Linked DNA regions of Drosophila melanogaster. The protein of the gene in region 2 purifies or fractionates together with the protein of the main gene of each other region. This does not show direct contact. Each region holds a gene or a part of one and is shown on either strand. Other genes may lie near its edges.

Region 1 (5,225 bases), on a different chromosome or scaffold from region 2:
GTTGCTAAACAAATAATGGGATAAATATAAAATTAATAAAACCTATTAGTAAATACCATACAAATACAAAATCGTGTGCTTGTTCCTATTCAATTTAATATTCCTCTCTCCTAGAGATTGAGTTGAAAAATCCACTAATGTTATTATGCCAATAATTTTTATTTGCAGCTCAAATGAATGCTCTGGCCAAAAATCGCAACACACGAGTTTTCGACTGTATTTCAAGTTTAGTTTACGGTGCGAAAAATGTGGGGGGATTTCAACGAGGACCGGGAGCTACACGTTAATTACAACATTGAGGCTGCTTACCAGTATTGTCGTTTAGCAGGGGATCGAATGCCTCCAGCACACTCACACGGGAGCTGCAAAGCAGGATGTTTGAATGTTAAAAACACGAACTAATCATTTCTGAACACTAGTGGATACATACTAGTCCTCGTGGTTGAGGTCGATCAAATCGTTGCCCCTGCGTGGGACCGAGGAATGACCATTGTTTCCAGTGTGGCTACTAGAGCTAACCCCGACAGTCGAGGGCACTTGGCGACGCGCTGGGAAGGCTACTCCATTGGCCTCTGCGGGGGAGGAAGTGGAATGGTTGGACGGTTGGCTGTGATGATGACTTGTTGTCGGTGCTGTTTGTTGGGGAGCTGGTTGCGATTGGGGTCGACGCAAATCCATGTGCGTGTAAGCACCTCCAAAGCCATATCCCTGTGCGGGATACTGCGGCGGCATAAAAGCAGCCGATCCGGGAACAATGGGAGCCGTGTATGGAGTAACCACAGCTCCGGGATAGTACATATAGGCGTTTGGCTGCGGCACTGGAACCACGGCCATTTGAGCGGGCATGCTGTACAGCCGCTGCAGCTCCTCGCTGTTTAGTGGCCTCTGTTGCTGAGCAGCTGGTTGGTAAGGCACCAACTGCAGGTCACCGTAAGCCGGTCCACCAACAACTCCACCTGCAACCATGCCGTACGGTGTGGGCTGAGCAGCCGTTGGACGTTGCTGATGAGGTGGAAAGCCGTATTGAGGAGGAATCGAAGCCGACGCAACTGGACCCATTGGCACCAGGGCCGACTGCGGATTGGTCGGCTGCATCCGCTGCAGATCCTCTATAAGTTTGCCAAAGGGACTGCTACTCTCTGGCTGCTTGCTGGTGGGACTTGCGAAGCAGATCAGATCGTTATCCGTTCCCTGGGCCGGCGGTGTGCGCGATCGTTCCGCATTCTCCGGACTGATGGCCACCTGATGCACCTCCGAGTGCCGTCGTGGTTGATGTAGGCTCTGACTACGTTGCGCCGCCTGGTAATCTCGGCCAGCAACGGTGGAGCTTTGCTGATACCCGGAGCCGTACTTCTTGTTTCGCCTGTAGTCATCGAGGGCATGCTGCTCTAGACTCAGGGCGGTCGCCTTGGCCAGGTCATCCTGGAATTGTTTGTCGTAGTCGATATGCGCTTGATTTGACATTATCCCCTCGTCTAAAGCGTCCGGTCCGTTGAGCTGCGAATGGGAACCAGAACAAAATGTGAGCGATTTCCAAATTTTGTTAAAATTATTTTCGTATTTTCTCTTCCAATGCCTATTTGTTGTTGAACAAAGGTGTTTGCTTTTGGGATTGCTTATCTCTGCGATAACGAACAGGCGGTGATAAAAGTGATTATGCAGTGTAAATGGCAATGGTACTATATGAGTACCTGGACGAAGAACAGGTGAGATAGCATTCGATGGGGGGAAGACCACTTGCGACAGAGTGGGGGTGCCTATCACTAGTTTTTTTTTTTTAAGTTGCAAAGGAATATTCGCGATCGATAATGAGCCGTCATTAGCGGGCACCAATGATTCAGAAATTCAGAAAATAGGGGAGAACAGATTGATCGCTTTATTAGATTTGTAAGCTTCGAAATGGTTAAAAGGATATGACAACTGCATTTAAAACGTAATTACAAGGATTTGTGATAGCCAGGGCAGGGACAGGAATTAATTTTATATTTTAAAAAATATCAACTTCTAATAGAAAAGTTCGAACATCATTATGCAAGCATGATATTAAGTATGATTAGCAGAGTTTCGACATTCGGTACAAACATCAGCAAAACATTTTATCTTATTGTTTGTACATACAAATGTGGTAAATACTTGTGTACTTTGCACATAGAAACCATATCCAAGCGCTCCAAATTTGCGATTGCGATACAGCAGAGTGGCGCAAAAAGGCGCAATTGAGTGCGCGATTGTAAATAAATATATAAAAACAAACAAAAGCGGCGGCATCAATTTGCGTGAATGAATGCTGCGAGTACTGATTTCCCAGATTTTACACATATATACGAATATATGCAATATAAACGTATATATATATGTCAGCATGTAAGCGTTTTGATTTTTTCCCCATTGAAGCCAATCTCGTATGCAGATAGGAAACAGCTGTTTAATATAAACACACCCACAAAAGCACTAGTGTGTGTGTGAGTCCGTGTCGCGAACGGGGACGGAATGGAAGATAAGAAAATGCGAACCGGCTAGGAATAGGAAGCGAGGAAGAGAGAGCAAAAGAGAGGGTTCCGTGCGGCAAAGGTTAAGGTAAATCAATAGATTGCGAAAAAATTTTTAAAAACAATATTCATAAACAATAAATGAACCCAATTGAATGCCAATTTATTCCGGAGAACGTAAGAATAAAATTTAAAAAAAACGAATATCGGTGGAAGGGCGAAAGAAAATAATAATGGAGATAGTCATTAATATGCAGACTTGACTTCTGCTTTGTGATTCTCATCCGCATATTGCCAACTTACTTGCTTTTTGAGGTGTCACCTCCGCTGCTTTTTACACCCGTTGCTAGTCTCTTTTTGGTTGAGGTTTTCCCTTGACGGGGCTACGAACATAGACCATCCGGTTAATAGTTTTACACTTTTATCCTCGGTTGTTGTTATATTTGACGAATCACAATTAATTTAAACTTAACCAAAGGTTTTTTTTTTGTTTTTAGGAGAGTTGTTTTATCCTCCTACACACCTAAACACCTACACACATACATGCGAAACGACCATACACAAACACGAACAGAAAACAGTGACAAAAAACGGAATAGACGCAACACCAAAATACTGAACAAAACGTTATTTTCTTAGATTTTCTTGCACCATCACATATTATGTACAAATCAGTTAATTTACAATAAAAAAAAAACAATTATCTTGTGCGCAAGAACTTTAAACACGAACAGCACGAAATAACACAAAACGGAATGCAACAAGCAGTAGCGATGGTAAACGAATCGATATTGTTTGGCAACTATCGATGAAAGATACATCGAACAGATGTTTGAGTATTGGCTAATCATGTAGCCGGGTTTCACTCCATCAATTCAAATTTATTGAGTTTCTAACGAATAACAAAATACTTAACTTTCGAGCGATATGTAATCTTGTATCTTCATAGTTTGTTTATAAAACTTATACTAATTGCCAAGTAATACATTTATTTATCTCAGTTGTTATTATTTGTGCTTCCACAAATTTTTCCACAATATCTACATAAATGCTTCGTCCACATTCAGGCCGTGATCCATGGCCACCTTGGAGTCGTCGTCCAGCCCACCAGCTAACGTCAATAGATAGTCGGGATCATCGATTGAACTACTGGGGGGCGCATTGTACATCCTGCGGTAGGAGGCTTCGATGTTTTCGTCCAGCATTCGATCCACAATGTCACTCTGGACCTGTCCCGGTTCCTGGGACATTTTAAGCAGCAGCTCCGCATGACTGGGTGTCACTTGAGGCAGTTGAAGATCGGTGGCTGCTGTGGGATTTACATTTGCCCTTCGCTGGGCGATTTCCGCCGATTCCGCACCCATTTTGCAGATTGCACACCTGCTGCGAGAAATCTGCTTCTTCAGATTGACCAAAGCCATACGATCCTGCGCCACCAGCATTCGTTCGTGGGCCAGCTGTGCCTCCTTTTCCGCGATTTCCTGGGCCCGCTTGGCCATGACCTTAAGCTTGGCCTGGAGCAGCTGGTCCGCCTCCCTAGCCTTCTGCTCGGCCAAGTGTTGGCGACTAGTGGCTAGGCGGTAGGCGCCGGTGGCTTGGCCCAGTTCGTCCTCCTTGAGATTTAGGGCGTGCTCCTTATCCAGAAGATGGCGCTTGCGCTGCTCCATTTCGCGCTGCAGCTTGTGGTAGCGATCCCGCTCCTCATCCGCCCGCCGAATGGCTTCGCGTGCCACCTGCAGTTGGGCCTCCAGTTCCCGGCGATCTCTGTCTGGGTCGCCGTGCTCATTGAGCTGTTGTCTTAGTTCAATCTGCTGGCGTTCCACTGTCAGTTGATTGCGCTCCTCCTGGAGATCGTGGTGCAGTCGTTCCATTTCCGCAAGCTGCAGTGCTTTAAGATCCTCCACACGCTTCTCGTCCCGCTGCATTTGCTCGCGATGGAATTCTTTTTCGCGCTCGAAAGCCTTGCGCTCCGCTTCCAAGCTGGACATTCGTTGACGGAGCTGCCAGTTCTCTTCGGCTGACTCCTTGGACAAACGGCCCAGCTGCAGCTCCAAGGTGCTCACCAGTTCCATCAGGCGGCGCTTCTCATCGTCGGCCGTCTCCTCGTCCATCTTTAGACGCCTTTCCTGGTCGGCCAGGCGACGTTCTCGCGCCTCCAACTGCCGTTCCCTTTCCTGGTTGTCACTCATCCCGTCACGAAGTTCTTGAAGATTGCTGGACGCCAGACGCAATGTGTCCAGATAATTTCCATGATCCTGCACCGCCGACAACTCCACCATTTTAGCCTGACGAATACCCTCGAGGTCCAGCTCGTGGGATTGACGCAGCTTGCGCACCTCATCCTCATGATCTTGTCGCAGGCTGGAAATCTGCTCCACATAGTCCTCCTTCTGCTTCTCCAGTTTTTCGATGTAGTACTGCCGTAACTCGCTATTCTCGTCCTTGAGTCGTTTCTCTACGACGGACAAGTGCTCCTCCAGCACCTTGATTTGTTTTCTGGACATAAAATTAAATTCTCTTACTCATTTGCATTATTATTTCAGCAGCTGGTTAAAACTTACTTATATGAAGAATCTATCATTTCGATCTCCTGCTCATAGTTGACCTTCATGTTGGCCACCAGCTCATCGAGTCGCTGTTTCTCCAGCAGATTGCGTTTGGCATCCATTTCTAGCAGAAGCAAATGCTCCTGTTCCTGACTGGTCGCCTTGTGGTGCTCCTTCCTTTCCGGTTCCG
Region 2 (3,877 bases):
CAATAAAACCAAGAAAAATCAAAACATTTTTCAAAAGTGTGGGCGTAGCAGTTTTGGGAGGCTTGTGGGCGTTAGAGTGGGCTTGGCAGCATATGGCCAACAATCTCGCGAGGCATCTATGTATATCTCTAGGACAGACGGACATGTCTAGATCGCCTCAGCTATTGATTCTGATTAAGAATATATGTATATACCTCATATAGTCGAAAACGCTTCTTTCAGCCTGTTGTTCTGTTCTGTTACATACTTTTCAACGAATCTAGTATATAGTATATCTAGTATATACACCACGAGTAACGGTTATAAAATGGAAGACTATCATATATGTACATACATAGCCCGAATATTATAGATTGGATATATTCTTAAATGGGTAAATACATACATATATGTTCGTTCACTTTTTGTTATAACAAAATAAAACTAGAATACTTATATATGTAACTAATTGTAGCCGAAAACAGTTTTGAAATTGGATTTCAATTAATTTCATTAATAGGAGAAGCTGTTGCGATGATATGATCGTTACATAAAATTATGAAAAAATATATAAAAACTTTATGTATTGTCTTCTATTGCACCATATATTTAAAGTGCCGTAAACTGTAATCTTGGTGCGGTTTAAAATTAATCACCTATCGCCTTGCAGAGCCATTAGCACCTCAACTGATAACGATGATTCAGCCCGGCCCCCAAAAAGCCTCAAAACAAGATAAGTGCAAGTACAAGATTGTTTATTACTGGGCGCTCAGGAAGGGCAAGAAAATCGAATGAAATACATATTTATATTTATTAATAAACAAAAATGTGTGAGGATTTTAAAGATCCATAATAGGGAATAATAAAAATACGCGTATTTATATTTATATCTATCTATGTATAATATATACACAAGATCAACATCGGTTAAAGGTCTACTATTTTATAGTTATGATTACTATCACAATGGGAACGGCTAAATGCCGCAACAGGACCGCTGGCCCGCAGGATCTCCGGGATCCGGGGCCTCCGAGTCATCGGAGTTGTTAAGGTTATCCGTATCCGGATTCTGGAGGCGAAGTGGACTCGCATCCGGTTGCCGTTGGCTCAACTGCTCCAGCATCAGCTGGGTCAGGAGCTCGAAGAGCTCAGCCACCCCCTCGTTCTCCTTGGCCGAAGTTTCTACATATTGAGCGCCAACCGTGCGCGCATATTGAAGGGCCTCATCGTGCGTTACTGCTCGCTGTTCCTCCAAATCAGTCTTGTTGCCGACGATTATTAAGGCAATCTCCGTGCCGCGCATTTGCCGGAGCTCCCGCACCCAGGATTTGACCTTCTGGAACGAGTCTCGGTCCGTTATGTCATAGACGAGCAGGGCGCCATCGGAGCCGCGATAGTAGATGGGTCCCAGGGCGTGGAACCGCTCCTGACCAGCCGTGTCCCAAATATTCAACTGCGCCCTTCTCCCATCCTCCAGGGACATCTTGCGGCTGACAAAGGAAGCCTGCAGGGTGCTTAGGTGCTGGGCATTGAACCGGTCTTCCATGTAGCGCAGCACCAGCGACGTCTTGCCCACACAACCTACAATTAAGGGGTTAAAGCTTTCAGGAACTAATTAGGTTTGTTTAGCTGCTAAACGTACCTTCGCCCAGCAGCACCGCCTTGAAATTAAGCGTGGGGCCGTTCCTCGTTCTGCTCGAGCTCATTGTGGTTTCCCAATAGCTAGGTGTCCTACCTTGATACGCATCAGTTTTCAGAGGACACGGAAAAACAAAAAAAAAACAAGAGGTAATCGAAAAGATTAGGTTTTTACGAGACCGCCAGTGTGGCTGTCTACCAGCACTATTGTAATGGCACTCGGCGATAAATGTTGAATAAGCGAGAAGTCACATACGTATCTGGCCACACTGCGGCCTCAAGCAAGGCCGAGAACTCAATGTCGCCGCAGTCATACATGAAAGATAGAAAATACAATTAAGCGATTTTAAATTAAACCATGTTTTAATTATGAGCAAAATATCGATGCATAGCCTAACATCGATATCAATAAAACCATCGAATGTATGCAGTATGGTGTCGATGAATCGATATTTTGCACGTTACTAACACTGAAGCACGCAGGGGTCCGGACGAAGCATAACATAATAATTTTTGGTTGTTATCTATTAAAAATTGCTGACCATGGCCTATGACTTGAAGAAGGAGTCAGACGTGAAGGAGTACGTAGAAAAGCTGGGCGTGGAATATCGATTCGGGTGCTATTCCGAGAAGAAGCCGGAAGGTGAGTGCGGCGGCGGCAGCGATAGCGACGGCGGCAAAAACAATTGAGGTCTATAACCTCCGATGTGCGGGAGGACAATTCGCGGGGCTTGAAGACATTGCATTTATGAGATAGCTAACTGGCGTTCTGCATTGCAGCGTGCCACTTGCTGGGCGACTACTTGGAGGGCATCAAGAAAGACTTTGAAAAGGCCTCCAAGGTGTACAAGTCGACTTGCGACGACTATGGTTACGCAAAGTCCTGCTACAAATACGGCAACTACAGTTTCCTTGGAAAAGGCAAGAGCGGTAGCAAGGGGAATCCACAAGTGGCCTACGAGTACTACGAGAAGGGCTGTAACTTAAACGACTCGGACGCCTGTCTTCACTCCGGCCTGCTGCTCGTTTCAAAGTCCATGCCTAGGGAGATCGACTGGAATGTGCCCAAGGTAAAGGTGTCGTATGGCGATCACGGTCCCAAGCCTTCAATAAAAGGCTAGCTCTTGGAACTGTTCAATTTGCTTAAAGTGCAACTATGTGCTGCAGTACATTCTCTCATTTGCCCCACCTGTTTCTCATTTGATCCTTGAAATCATAAGTCATTCGTATCGTGTCCAGATAATTGAACGTTTAATTGTAATTTTCTGATTATGTTCCAATGGATGTATAGACATATGTATGAATATAGTTTAGTTTGATCCAATTTAAAACTGTTCAATATGACCCCAGCAGAAAAGTGTTTAAATTTTATTTGATTTTGTGATTTGACATTATAATTTTACAACACCCGCAGGGCCTGGAGTTTCTGACCAAAAGCTGCGACTTGAACAACGCCACTGCCTGCTTTTATCTCTCCGGGATGCACATCTCGGGCGTGCAAAAGAAGGCGGATCAGAGTGCTGTCACTGCATCCTCCGGAAGTGGTACATCATCACCCCCCGCCGGACAACCGCCTTTAAAGGACTCCGACTATATTGTTCTAAAAGACATGAAGAAGGCTTTCCAGTTTGCCCACAAGGCTTGCGAGCTTCGCAATATGTATGCGTGTGCCAATCTTAGCCAGATGTACGCCCGGGGCGATGGGATCGAGAAGAACGAAAAGGAAGCGGAGAAGTACAAGAAGCTGGCCCTAGAAATGCAGGACGAGGTGAAGAAGCAGCATGATACGTTAGGGTTCCAGCAGGGCGTGGGCATGCCTAATTGATAATGCTTGATTCCTGATATTATCTGCTGCTACTGTTTTTAGACCTTGCTTCAGGTCAGGTCAGGTTTTTCTTTACCTTCTAGCCCTTTTCAGTAATTTTCAGTCAGTCTAATTTTGGTAGTTAAGCTAACTAACTTGTGTTTGAGATTTCTGTGTACATAGCTGGCACTTGCATGCGAAAGAGCGAGAAAGAGAAAATAAGTAACAATGGAAATTCCTAGATTTAATTGTTAAAGTTATTAAGTGATGATGAACCCTTTAAAAATTTTGTTGATACCTTATATGAATATACAAACAAGTCTTACCAAAAAAGTAGACAAAAATCTTCAGTTAATTGTGTTTTAGTTACGGTTGCTTGTGCACAAACTGTTGTTCTAATATTAATGTAAGAACCAGTACATTTTTCTGATCAGAATCGCCTGCTAATCCGACAGC
Region 3 (4,935 bases), on a different chromosome or scaffold from region 2:
TCCGTGCGCGCACCCAGCACACGTGCCTGGGCTCTTAGATGAGGCAGTGCGTCCAGCATGGTCCAGGAGTTAAAGAGCTCATGCATCACATGGACCTTCAGGACAAAGTCCTCGGGGAAGATCCCCGCCAGTTCCAGTGCCCGTTGCTGCTCCAGCACGTTGTGCGATAAGGCTAAACAATCACTTCTGGCCTGCTGAGGATGCGGGGGACAGGCGATAACCAGGAGCACCTCTCCTGGCTTGTTACTACCGCAGCATAAGCTTGCGAGGCACAGAAGCCCAAACAGCACACATATCCTAGTAGGCATAACTAATATCTATTGCGGAACTCTAAGAGTTCCGAACGCATTTCCTGATATTTTACAAACACCTGCCCTTTTCCTACCGGAAATCGGAACACGTCTGTCCCAATGAACGTGCGATGTCGTACTGAGGCAGCTGTGATTTAATTTTGGCGCAAAGCCGAAATGTTTTGTGTCCTGTGGTGTCAAAAGTGGGATTCGGGATTTAACGTGCGTAGTCCAACGCGCAGGCGCCTCTATGAAGCGGTGTTTATGAATGAATCACAAGGAGCGTGCAACAGTTGGTCACCTGTTTAGGTATCTTTTTGACATCCAAACTAGTTTAAGGCACATATAAAAGTAGCTCCACTGAGCTGCGAAAACGCTATACGATTTGAACTATATGATGTTATTCATGAAATAATTAAAACATTCTCAGACATTTAACACTTTAATTAGATTCGATAATGTGGTTCAATGATACAATGTTGAATCGACTAGTTTTCCATTTAAGAAAAACTTTTATTTGGAATTAGAACGTAGTTCACAATACGTGCACTACATATGCGTACAAGTAGGGGGAATAAAAAAGCAATACTATTAGTGCATAGGCGAGGCCAGTCGCGTAGTTGTCTGCATGCTGTTGCTGCGGTTGTTCGACTTGAGCCGCAGCTCGTTGACGAGCTTAAAGAGCTGGTCCTGCTTGGATAGCAGTTCGCGGGTTCGCTGGCAGCCATGCTGAGGAGCGCACAGACCAGGATTCCAGCGACAGTATAGGCCCTTCCACAAGCGGACCGATCTCACGCTGGCAATCGGACGCAGCACTAGCTCGGCGCCGTGCGTGAACGAGGGAAAGAGTGGATTCAAATACTGGTCCAGCGACGAGTTGATGTGCGTCCACAGGGATGTTGTCTTGTGCTTGAGATCTACAATAAATGTGAAAATTACTTCCAAGCCCATGCAAACAGCAATCAGTCTAACCTTCGGCCACACGCTCGGCCTCCGTGTTGCAGAGGAAGGTGCCGAAGCGGCACGAGTACAGATGATCCACGATGGTTATCAGGAAGTGCTCGTTGAACTCAAATGCGTTGTTGAACTGCTGGCTAACCTGCCAGACGCTATCGATAAATTGCAGGAACACCGGAGATCTGTCTGCATCCGAGTGCTTGTTGTCGCCGTGACCAATGCGTTGTTGGAACTTGTGGCCAAAGGAGAGCCACTCCTTCTCAATGAGAACCTCGAAACCGCGCACTGTGCGATAGTGCGGATCGAGCAGCAACATGGAAAGAGCAGTCAGCTGGGCTGTGCGATCCCAGCCGTCGGAGCAGTGAACTACGACGGAGGTGCTCATGGTCTCCACCTTGTCAACAATCCTAACGGCGCCGGCCAGGATGCACCTAATGTGCTTTAGCCACAGTGTGTTGTCAATAGCCGTCTGCCACTTTGAGTCGTCGGTGGTGGGGAAGCAAGCCTCCTTCACTTTGCGTAGGCTCTCCCGCATCACGTGGATGTTGTGTATGTCGAGGAAGTTGATTTCCACGTTCTTGTACGCGTCCTCTGACTCGTAGCCGCCGCCCTTGGCCTTGTTAGCAATCGCATTGGCGCTTGGTCGCGCATCCATGATGGTCAACTTGTCTGACTGGGCGTTCGCCTCCATGATAAAGCTTAGGTATGCTTCATCGTCGGAATTTCGCTTGCCACTTACACCCACCAGCGGCTGGGAACACCTTGTAATGGTCGCTTGAGTCCGTGGGTTCATCCAGGACAAAACCGGCAGGCGGCAGCGCGATCGGAACTGTGCCACGCGCCTCAGGAAATCATCGGAGGCCGCTTTGGGCACAGCCCACACGGCCGGATAGCTGTCGCAAATTGCGTAGGACTCGTTTAGCTTGGTCGCCCGCCACATATCGTTGGGAACGCCCAAGCGGCGCAGCTCCGCCAGCGGTTCATATACCGCCCAGCCGTCCCAGCCTCCGTTACCGTTCACAGAGTTGGCCGCGGCGTGGGCGAATGCAAAGAGGCGCCCACTGTACGAGAGCGGAAAGGCGTTGGCCTGCAGTTTCTCAAACACCGTCCTCCGCGAATGATTCTGCTGCTTGTGGGCGAATCGCAGGTTTCGCATGTCCTTGCAGAAAATCTCGATGCCGTACGAGTTCTCACCGCGAGACGTGGCACCTCCAATCTTCTCCACACGCGCGATCACGCCCAGAGGCACGTCGACGACGACGGGCGGCTCCTGATCCCGCAGGGGAAGCGACCGGAAGTACAGACGGTAGTTGGTTATGGTAAGAGCGCCGAAGACGGGGCCGCGGTACGGACACACGTAGGTCACGTCGTTCTTCTGGTCCTGGTCCTCTTCGCCCTCCAGATAGCCGAAGGGCGTGTCCCGCAGAATGCCGTTTTCTCCGCCACCGTGCTTGGAGCCCAGCGAACTGGACTTGGAGCTGCTGTCCAGAGAGTTGCTGCTGGCAGTCTTGGAGGCCAACTTGTCGGCCAGGCTCGCGGAGGGATCCATTTTCGGATGGACACGAGTGGTGTTTGGCTATTGTGTTGCTGGTTGCAGCTGTGTTTTCTTTTCCAATTGTTAGCTAAATGCAATTCACCAAAACTCATGCAGCAGTGCTGCCAACTCACGCAATATAAAATCATCTGGAATAATTTCCCATTCCTCCGACAAAAGTACCAAAGGGACATTATGTAGTGGCGGAAAATTTGATTTTTATGTATTGGAATTAATCAACTTATTTCAGACATTTAACTGGTAATCAAGGAAAGCTAGAACAATTCCGCTTTTAAAAAAATCTCTAACATATGTATTTAATGCTTAATAAATTAAGTGTTAGAAGTGGCGTCTTCTTTAAGTTTACAGCGCATTGATTGTGTGACAGAAAACATCGGACCATGTCCTGGGATTATAAACTCGCACAGTTGTGCCATTTTACTGCGCTCCTCGCGCTGCACCTTCTCGTTTTCGCTTCCAGCGTCCATCCAAATGTTCTCATCGTCGATGTCCTCGCGACGCTCGAAGAGATCTCCGGTGATACCGACCCGTCCACCCAGCTGGGAATTTTCCACAAGAACTGAAACGCAGCTGAGGGTGTGTCCTGGCGACCGCCTCACTACCACCTCGGCATTCGAATCTAGGGCCAGTTGCTCGTCTGGATTACCACTACCAAGGTGGTCCATGTAGAGGTCGTGATGTGAGGCACATGCGCCGACCAAATGCATTCGTGCCTTCTGAAACAGATAGTTGCAACCGATGTGGTCAGAGTGTCCGTGAGAGCAGACCACCACGTGGATGTCATCGACGCCTAGTCCCTGCTGGCCCAACAACGAACGCAGGTGATCTCCATCCCAGGCCGTCAGTGTGTCCACGATTATGTTGGTGCCATCCCGGCAGCGGACCAGTGTGCATGTGCAGTTAGCCCGCATGGCGGACTCGTCTCCTTCTTCTTGGCGAGAATAGCCGACCTGGAGCACGGTCACCTGGTTTCGTTGCGCAGGATCAGTGTATGCCATTGTTTAGTTGTTTAACAACGATAACGCTCTAGCCTATTAAATTATTTAGGGTCAGCTGCTTATCAGCTGTTGCTTACAAACAGAAATGTCAACTCGTCAACAACCTGTTGAAAACTAGAGTTGCCACTATGAAACTTTTGACGAAATAAACAAATTACTTACGAATTAAGTAATTACTTATCTAACTTGTATACCGCTAATCACAGTTCAGAAATTATTTTAAGTTTTTTTTTACACATTGATTCCATTATTGGTTTCAGTATAATGGAAATTAGGATTTCATGGCAACACCGACACCAGCTGATCGCCAAAAATTCACTCACATGTTTATACGGCGTAATTTTGTTATTATTCAACGATTTCTGAATAAGCGTGAGATAAAGTGGCATGTATCTGAACCACCTGCCGCGGACACAATGGAAGTACCTACAATACCTTCTGCGAGTGCGTCAGCTTCAGCTCCTGCGACGGCACGTTAACATTGGCGCAAAGCCGCCCATCCAAACAGCTGCCTTGCTGCCGGCATTGGGCCAAAAACTGAGGAAGCACTCGCAGCTGGTGAACGGAGATCTCCAAGACAAGTTTGGCGTGCCACGGGAACAGGATGCTCTTCTAACCCGACTGGAGGAGGCCAAGACGGGTAACCAGATTTTAGATGTGTTGGAGAGCTGTGACGGCCTGCAGAGCTCCCATGTGGTGATGGGAATCTCACTGCTGTGGAACATCTATCACGACGCGGAGCAGGCAAGTAAAGATGCCATCACGGATCGCGTGCTGCTTAACGTGCTCCCAAAGTTGGCCCCTTATGTACACCAACTGGAGATCGATGATCTCAGTAGATGCTACCTGTACCTGCGCAAAATGCATATACCAAACTCCGAGGCAGTCGTGGAGGCCGTGCTGACGAGATCTCTTCAATTAATCGAGTCACAAGTTGATGACGAAGTCATTCCCTTGACCTCCTTGTCTCGCCTCTCGGTGGGCATCAACTTGGAACGCGACTTCTTCACTCCGCTTGTGTGTAGGAACTTTATTCCGCACCTGGAACATCACATCAATTGGTGTCGCAGCGCAGAGCAGGTTCGCCTTCTGTCCACGTGCCTCTTTCAGCTACACTTTCTCATTGATGAGGAGC
Region 4 (3,863 bases), on a different chromosome or scaffold from region 2:
ACGGTCCTGGCAAGGATGTGAAAACTTCCGTTTGGGGCGTTTCCATAGACGTGATGCCCTGCGGAGATCGGATCAACACGTGGTTCTCCCAGGCCATCCTGAAGAAGGAGAGCGGCCTCAAGCTAGTTCACTATCCCTATCCGAAACCAGTGAGATGCACCAATCCCCGCCTAAAGTCCATGCCATTCATTAGACAGGAGGACTCGGTATGTTCCTGATGCGCAATTCGAAGTGTTAGGACCCAGATCACCCTTGATTTGAATTCTTTCCATAGGGCACTTTTAACGATGCCACCAGCTTTATGCTGATGAACCTTTCGTCGGTCGCCGATCTTAATACTCGGTTAAAGAATCCGGTGGATGCACTGCAGTTCCGAGGTAACTTCGAACTGAAAATGGATGTTGATGAGCCCTATGCCGAGGACAATTGGCAGTGGGTGCGTATAGGCGAAGATGCTGTTTTCCGTACGGTGGCGCCATGCACTCGCTGTATTTTTACCAACATTAATGCGAAGACCGCAGAGAGGAGTTCCGAAGGAGAGCCTCTCAAAACGCTCAGAAGGTGAGTCACTACCCATGGAAATATCTGAGAAGTACGACTTACAAAACCCGACCCTCATATCTGGAATCCACAGCTATCGCTTGTTCAACTACAGTTCGCCGGCTCTGGGCGTTCATATGGGACTTCGGCTGCCGGGAAAGGTGAAGGCCAACGACGTCGTGTATGTGGAGGACAAGTGAATATTCCATTATCTCTTCTAACACTTTATCCGGTATACATTGAAGTTTATTACATAGAACATAGATGAGAGTACTGTAGAGTTTTATATGCAAATATACATGTGTTATGAGCCTATAACAATATAAACAACTTTAAAGCTTGTCCTAAACACAGGACTGCCAAGCGAGGCCACCACAGGCCATGCTCACAATCACGTAAACGATGAAGGTTATCACCAGACCCACCACCACGTAGACGCGGATGTTCTTCCAAAACATTTGACGAGCCAAATTTCGGGAGGCCTTACGGAATGCAACGGACTGTAAGAGAGATCAAATGAAAAACACATTTAAAAGTCTCTGCTTGGCATCACCTTACATTATTGCTCAAGTTTTCGGTCTTGTTGACGAGCAGCTCTAGTTTCTCGCCGCGATCCCGCAAGCTGTCTGCAAATGGGATGAAAAGGGAATAGTAAACAAAAAGAACATACGGATTTTCCTTCCTTCATACCAATATTCTTAACCATAATGTCTTTAAGCTCGTCAATCTGACCATGTACTCGCGAAATGGTGTCCACCTCCCGGGACTGACTGAAATAGACCATCTGCTGGGCCAGGATCTTGGAGAACTCGGTGTTCATGGAGTAGGCGATGGCGGTGGCCACCTGTAGGCCGTAAGTCTGGATAAACTTCTGCTTGATATCCGCCAAGAAGAGGAAGGCCCGCGACCGTTCGAACTCCTACAAAGAAACGATACGTTATCGATTGGGCAATAAGCAACTGAGGTGGCTAATTGGGCCAGTGGTTCGTTCACCCACGTTGTCGGTGATGCACATGTAGACCAGTTTGTTCTCGCAGGTGTAGTGGATCAGGTAGTCTCCGTGTGTGTAGGTCATCTTGTGGTTATGCACCCCGATCCGTCCGATTATGTGCTCCGTCACTTCGGCAAAGTTGCCGACGCACTCCGCAAACTTCGCCAGCACTGTGGTGCCCCGCGATATCACACTATATAGTATCGGCATGGTGCCACAGATTCTCCTTTGCTAAGGGCGCGGTTGTTCAGCTCCTCAGGCTACTGCTTTGTTTTGCTTATCGGGGAATGAGCCGACGATCCGTCAATGATGACGTGCTCTCGGATTCTGAGAAATGTACATATCGATTTAGAAACTACTACTATCCAATTGCGAGCCTATCAATCTGAACAATAACTCTGTTTATGAGTAACATACGTATATATGTGTAATATGCAAATTGTTATATCAAAGTACTTGCTTTGTTTATCCAATTAGATCCGCCTCGAGTTGATAGCGCAACTGCAGATTTACATTTTGTGGTAAGCGGCTTAAGTTATTATCGATTTTCAATTGCTTTTGCCGAACACAATAAAAACATCACAATACCGTGGAATTAGCTCGATTTTTGCATTACAAATAACAACAATTGCTGACGCTTCGATGCAGTTATAAAATTAGAGGTGGAAGGACGGTACATCGACGCATCGATATTTAATGGAGCCGATAAGTCTGGCTTTATCGCACGGTCACACTGCATAACGTGTTTTACAAATTATGTTATACGGTCTTATGATTATTTGCATTTGCTTATTAAATTAAATGATCTCCGCAACTTAAATAGGGGCATCCCACCGATAGCGTTTCAGTATTGACGAGAGCATCAGTTCATCCAGTTGAGATTCTTCTCCCCGGACAAAGAATTTTCCATTAAAGTAAATTTAAATTAATAGCGTTCCCAAGCTTTTGCTCCTGAGATCTTTGAGCCTGGATCCATTCGTTTTGACAGAAAAAACCGCAGGTAATAACTTAAACTATGTACACACGCAAGATACAATATACGTAGTTTCAATATGCGCATATGCTGCCGAAATATTCGATTTAAAATTACTTATTTTAAAAGACTTAGAATTCTCATTTATTCTGGCCACAAATATGGCACGATTGCACTTTTTTGAGCCTTTTACAGGATAAGGTTTCTATAGAATTTAATATTAGAACACAATAAGCATGCTTAAATAAGATCATTTATCAAATCTTATAATTCGTTTAGGGTGTAGCTATCAGTATTTAAGTTGCAGAGTAAGAGCGTAATGGTTAACCATTGTTGATGGTTAATTAACCACCAATTGGTTAACCATTGTTAATGTTTAATTATCTTTGTTATTTTTTATTATTTTGATCTTGATTAAGAATATATATACTTTACATGGCCGGGAACGCTTCCTTCTACCTGTTACTTACTTTTCAACGAATCTAGTATACCCTCTTACCAAAGACACTAGAATAACAATATGCGTTTTTGGGAGGAGTCTAGAGCTGGCTCCGGCTCTCACGAATATTTGTTCCAGAGGGCGGAGAGCTTTACAGTCAGCAGATTTCATGTCTGTATATGTATCTGATAGTCGGAACCGGACATTGTTACCTAAAGTTTTATTTCGAATACAAATTGATTAACGAATCTTTGAGGCTATATTGATAAAATCTTATCTGATACCTGATAAACAAACACAAAAGTAAATAATAATAAAAAGATATAACAATGTAGTTCCTTCATTGCTTCCGTCATACATAAATATGTGCATTTGTATGTGCACGCAATGTAATTAATATTTAGGAGCCCAAATTCAGTTATGTATACCTATGCAAGCCCAATAAACAAATTTATATATAATTTAACGGCATTTGAAATTCCAGCGAAGTTTTCGCGAGATCTCCAAATCGATCTGGCAACCCTTGAGACGTACATATGTATGCAGACGAAATGGCAATCGCTAGCAACGTTGTCGAAGCGGGGAACGCGGTTCGCGCGGAAAAAGGCAGAAAATATTTTTATTTTCGAAAGATGATAGGAGATTATATTGGTGAGTGATGACCGATGGACGCCATAAATTATCTTTACGGTCGTGATTCGTTGCAGACACCTCTATTCGCATTGTAGCCACCGTGTTCTTGGCTGATCTGCTCCTTCGCTTGTACCGCTGTGTCGTCGAATATGGGAGCAATGGGCGGTACTATTTGCCCGAGGATCGGCTGTGGATAATCCTGCGGCGCTCGTGCACGTATAACAACAGATCGATATACCTGATTGTGGGATTCCTTCTCGTAGCTTTTTTTCGAATTTCGGTTACCG

What was found.
Region 1: the proteins of Rab21 (region 2) and Pi3K68D purify together in Drosophila melanogaster (affinity purification with western blotting; one study listed by BioGRID). This does not show direct contact.
Region 3: the proteins of Rab21 (region 2) and mtm purify together in Drosophila melanogaster (affinity purification with western blotting, with the first as the bait; one study listed by BioGRID). This does not show direct contact.
Region 4: the proteins of Rab21 (region 2) and Vamp7 purify together in Drosophila melanogaster (affinity purification with western blotting, with the first as the bait; one study listed by BioGRID). This does not show direct contact.

The regions. Positions count from the first base shown.
Region 1 is NT_037436.4:11,786,749-11,791,973, forward strand, and holds the start of Pi3K68D (phosphatidylinositol 3-kinase 68D), read right to left. Parts: upstream 3,266-5,225; 5' UTR 3,174-3,265; exon of another isoform or gene 2,873-3,173; 5' UTR 2,793-2,872; intron 1,498-2,792; 5' UTR 1,465-1,497; coding exon 431-1,464; intron 363-430; coding exon 310-362; intron 1-309. Other genes in the region: twy (twitchy), read right to left, coding at 3,530-4,985, 5,051-5,225.
Region 2 is NC_004354.4:23,011,422-23,015,298, forward strand, and holds Rab21 (Rab21), read right to left. Parts: upstream 1,989-3,877; 5' UTR 1,874-1,988; intron 1,844-1,873; exon of another isoform or gene 1,715-1,843; 5' UTR 1,686-1,714; coding exon 1,622-1,685; exon of another isoform or gene 1,561-1,621; coding exon 956-1,560; 3' UTR 719-955; downstream 1-718. Other genes in the region: Coa7 (cytochrome c oxidase assembly factor 7), read left to right, coding at 2,161-2,260, 2,398-2,687, 3,032-3,442.
Region 3 is NT_033779.5:6,034,016-6,038,950, forward strand, and holds mtm (myotubularin), read right to left. Parts: upstream 3,001-4,935; 5' UTR 2,797-3,000; coding exon 1,263-2,796; intron 1,208-1,262; coding exon 882-1,207; 3' UTR 716-881; downstream 1-715. Other genes in the region: CG9109 (uncharacterized protein), read right to left, coding at 1-308; CG9117 (uncharacterized protein), read right to left, coding at 3,114-3,800; CG31643 (uncharacterized protein), read left to right, coding at 4,188-4,935.
Region 4 is NT_033778.4:9,840,310-9,844,172, forward strand, and holds Vamp7 (Vesicle-associated membrane protein 7), read right to left. Parts: upstream 2,194-3,863; 5' UTR 1,992-2,193; intron 1,917-1,991; exon of another isoform or gene 1,859-1,916; 5' UTR 1,742-1,858; coding exon 1,538-1,741; intron 1,460-1,537; coding exon 1,231-1,459; intron 1,167-1,230; coding exon 1,099-1,166; intron 1,041-1,098; coding exon 885-1,040; 3' UTR 771-884; downstream 1-770. Other genes in the region: Marc (mitochondrial amidoxime reducing component), read left to right, coding at 1-206, 275-561, 635-740; sting, read left to right, coding at 3,495-3,594, 3,651-3,863.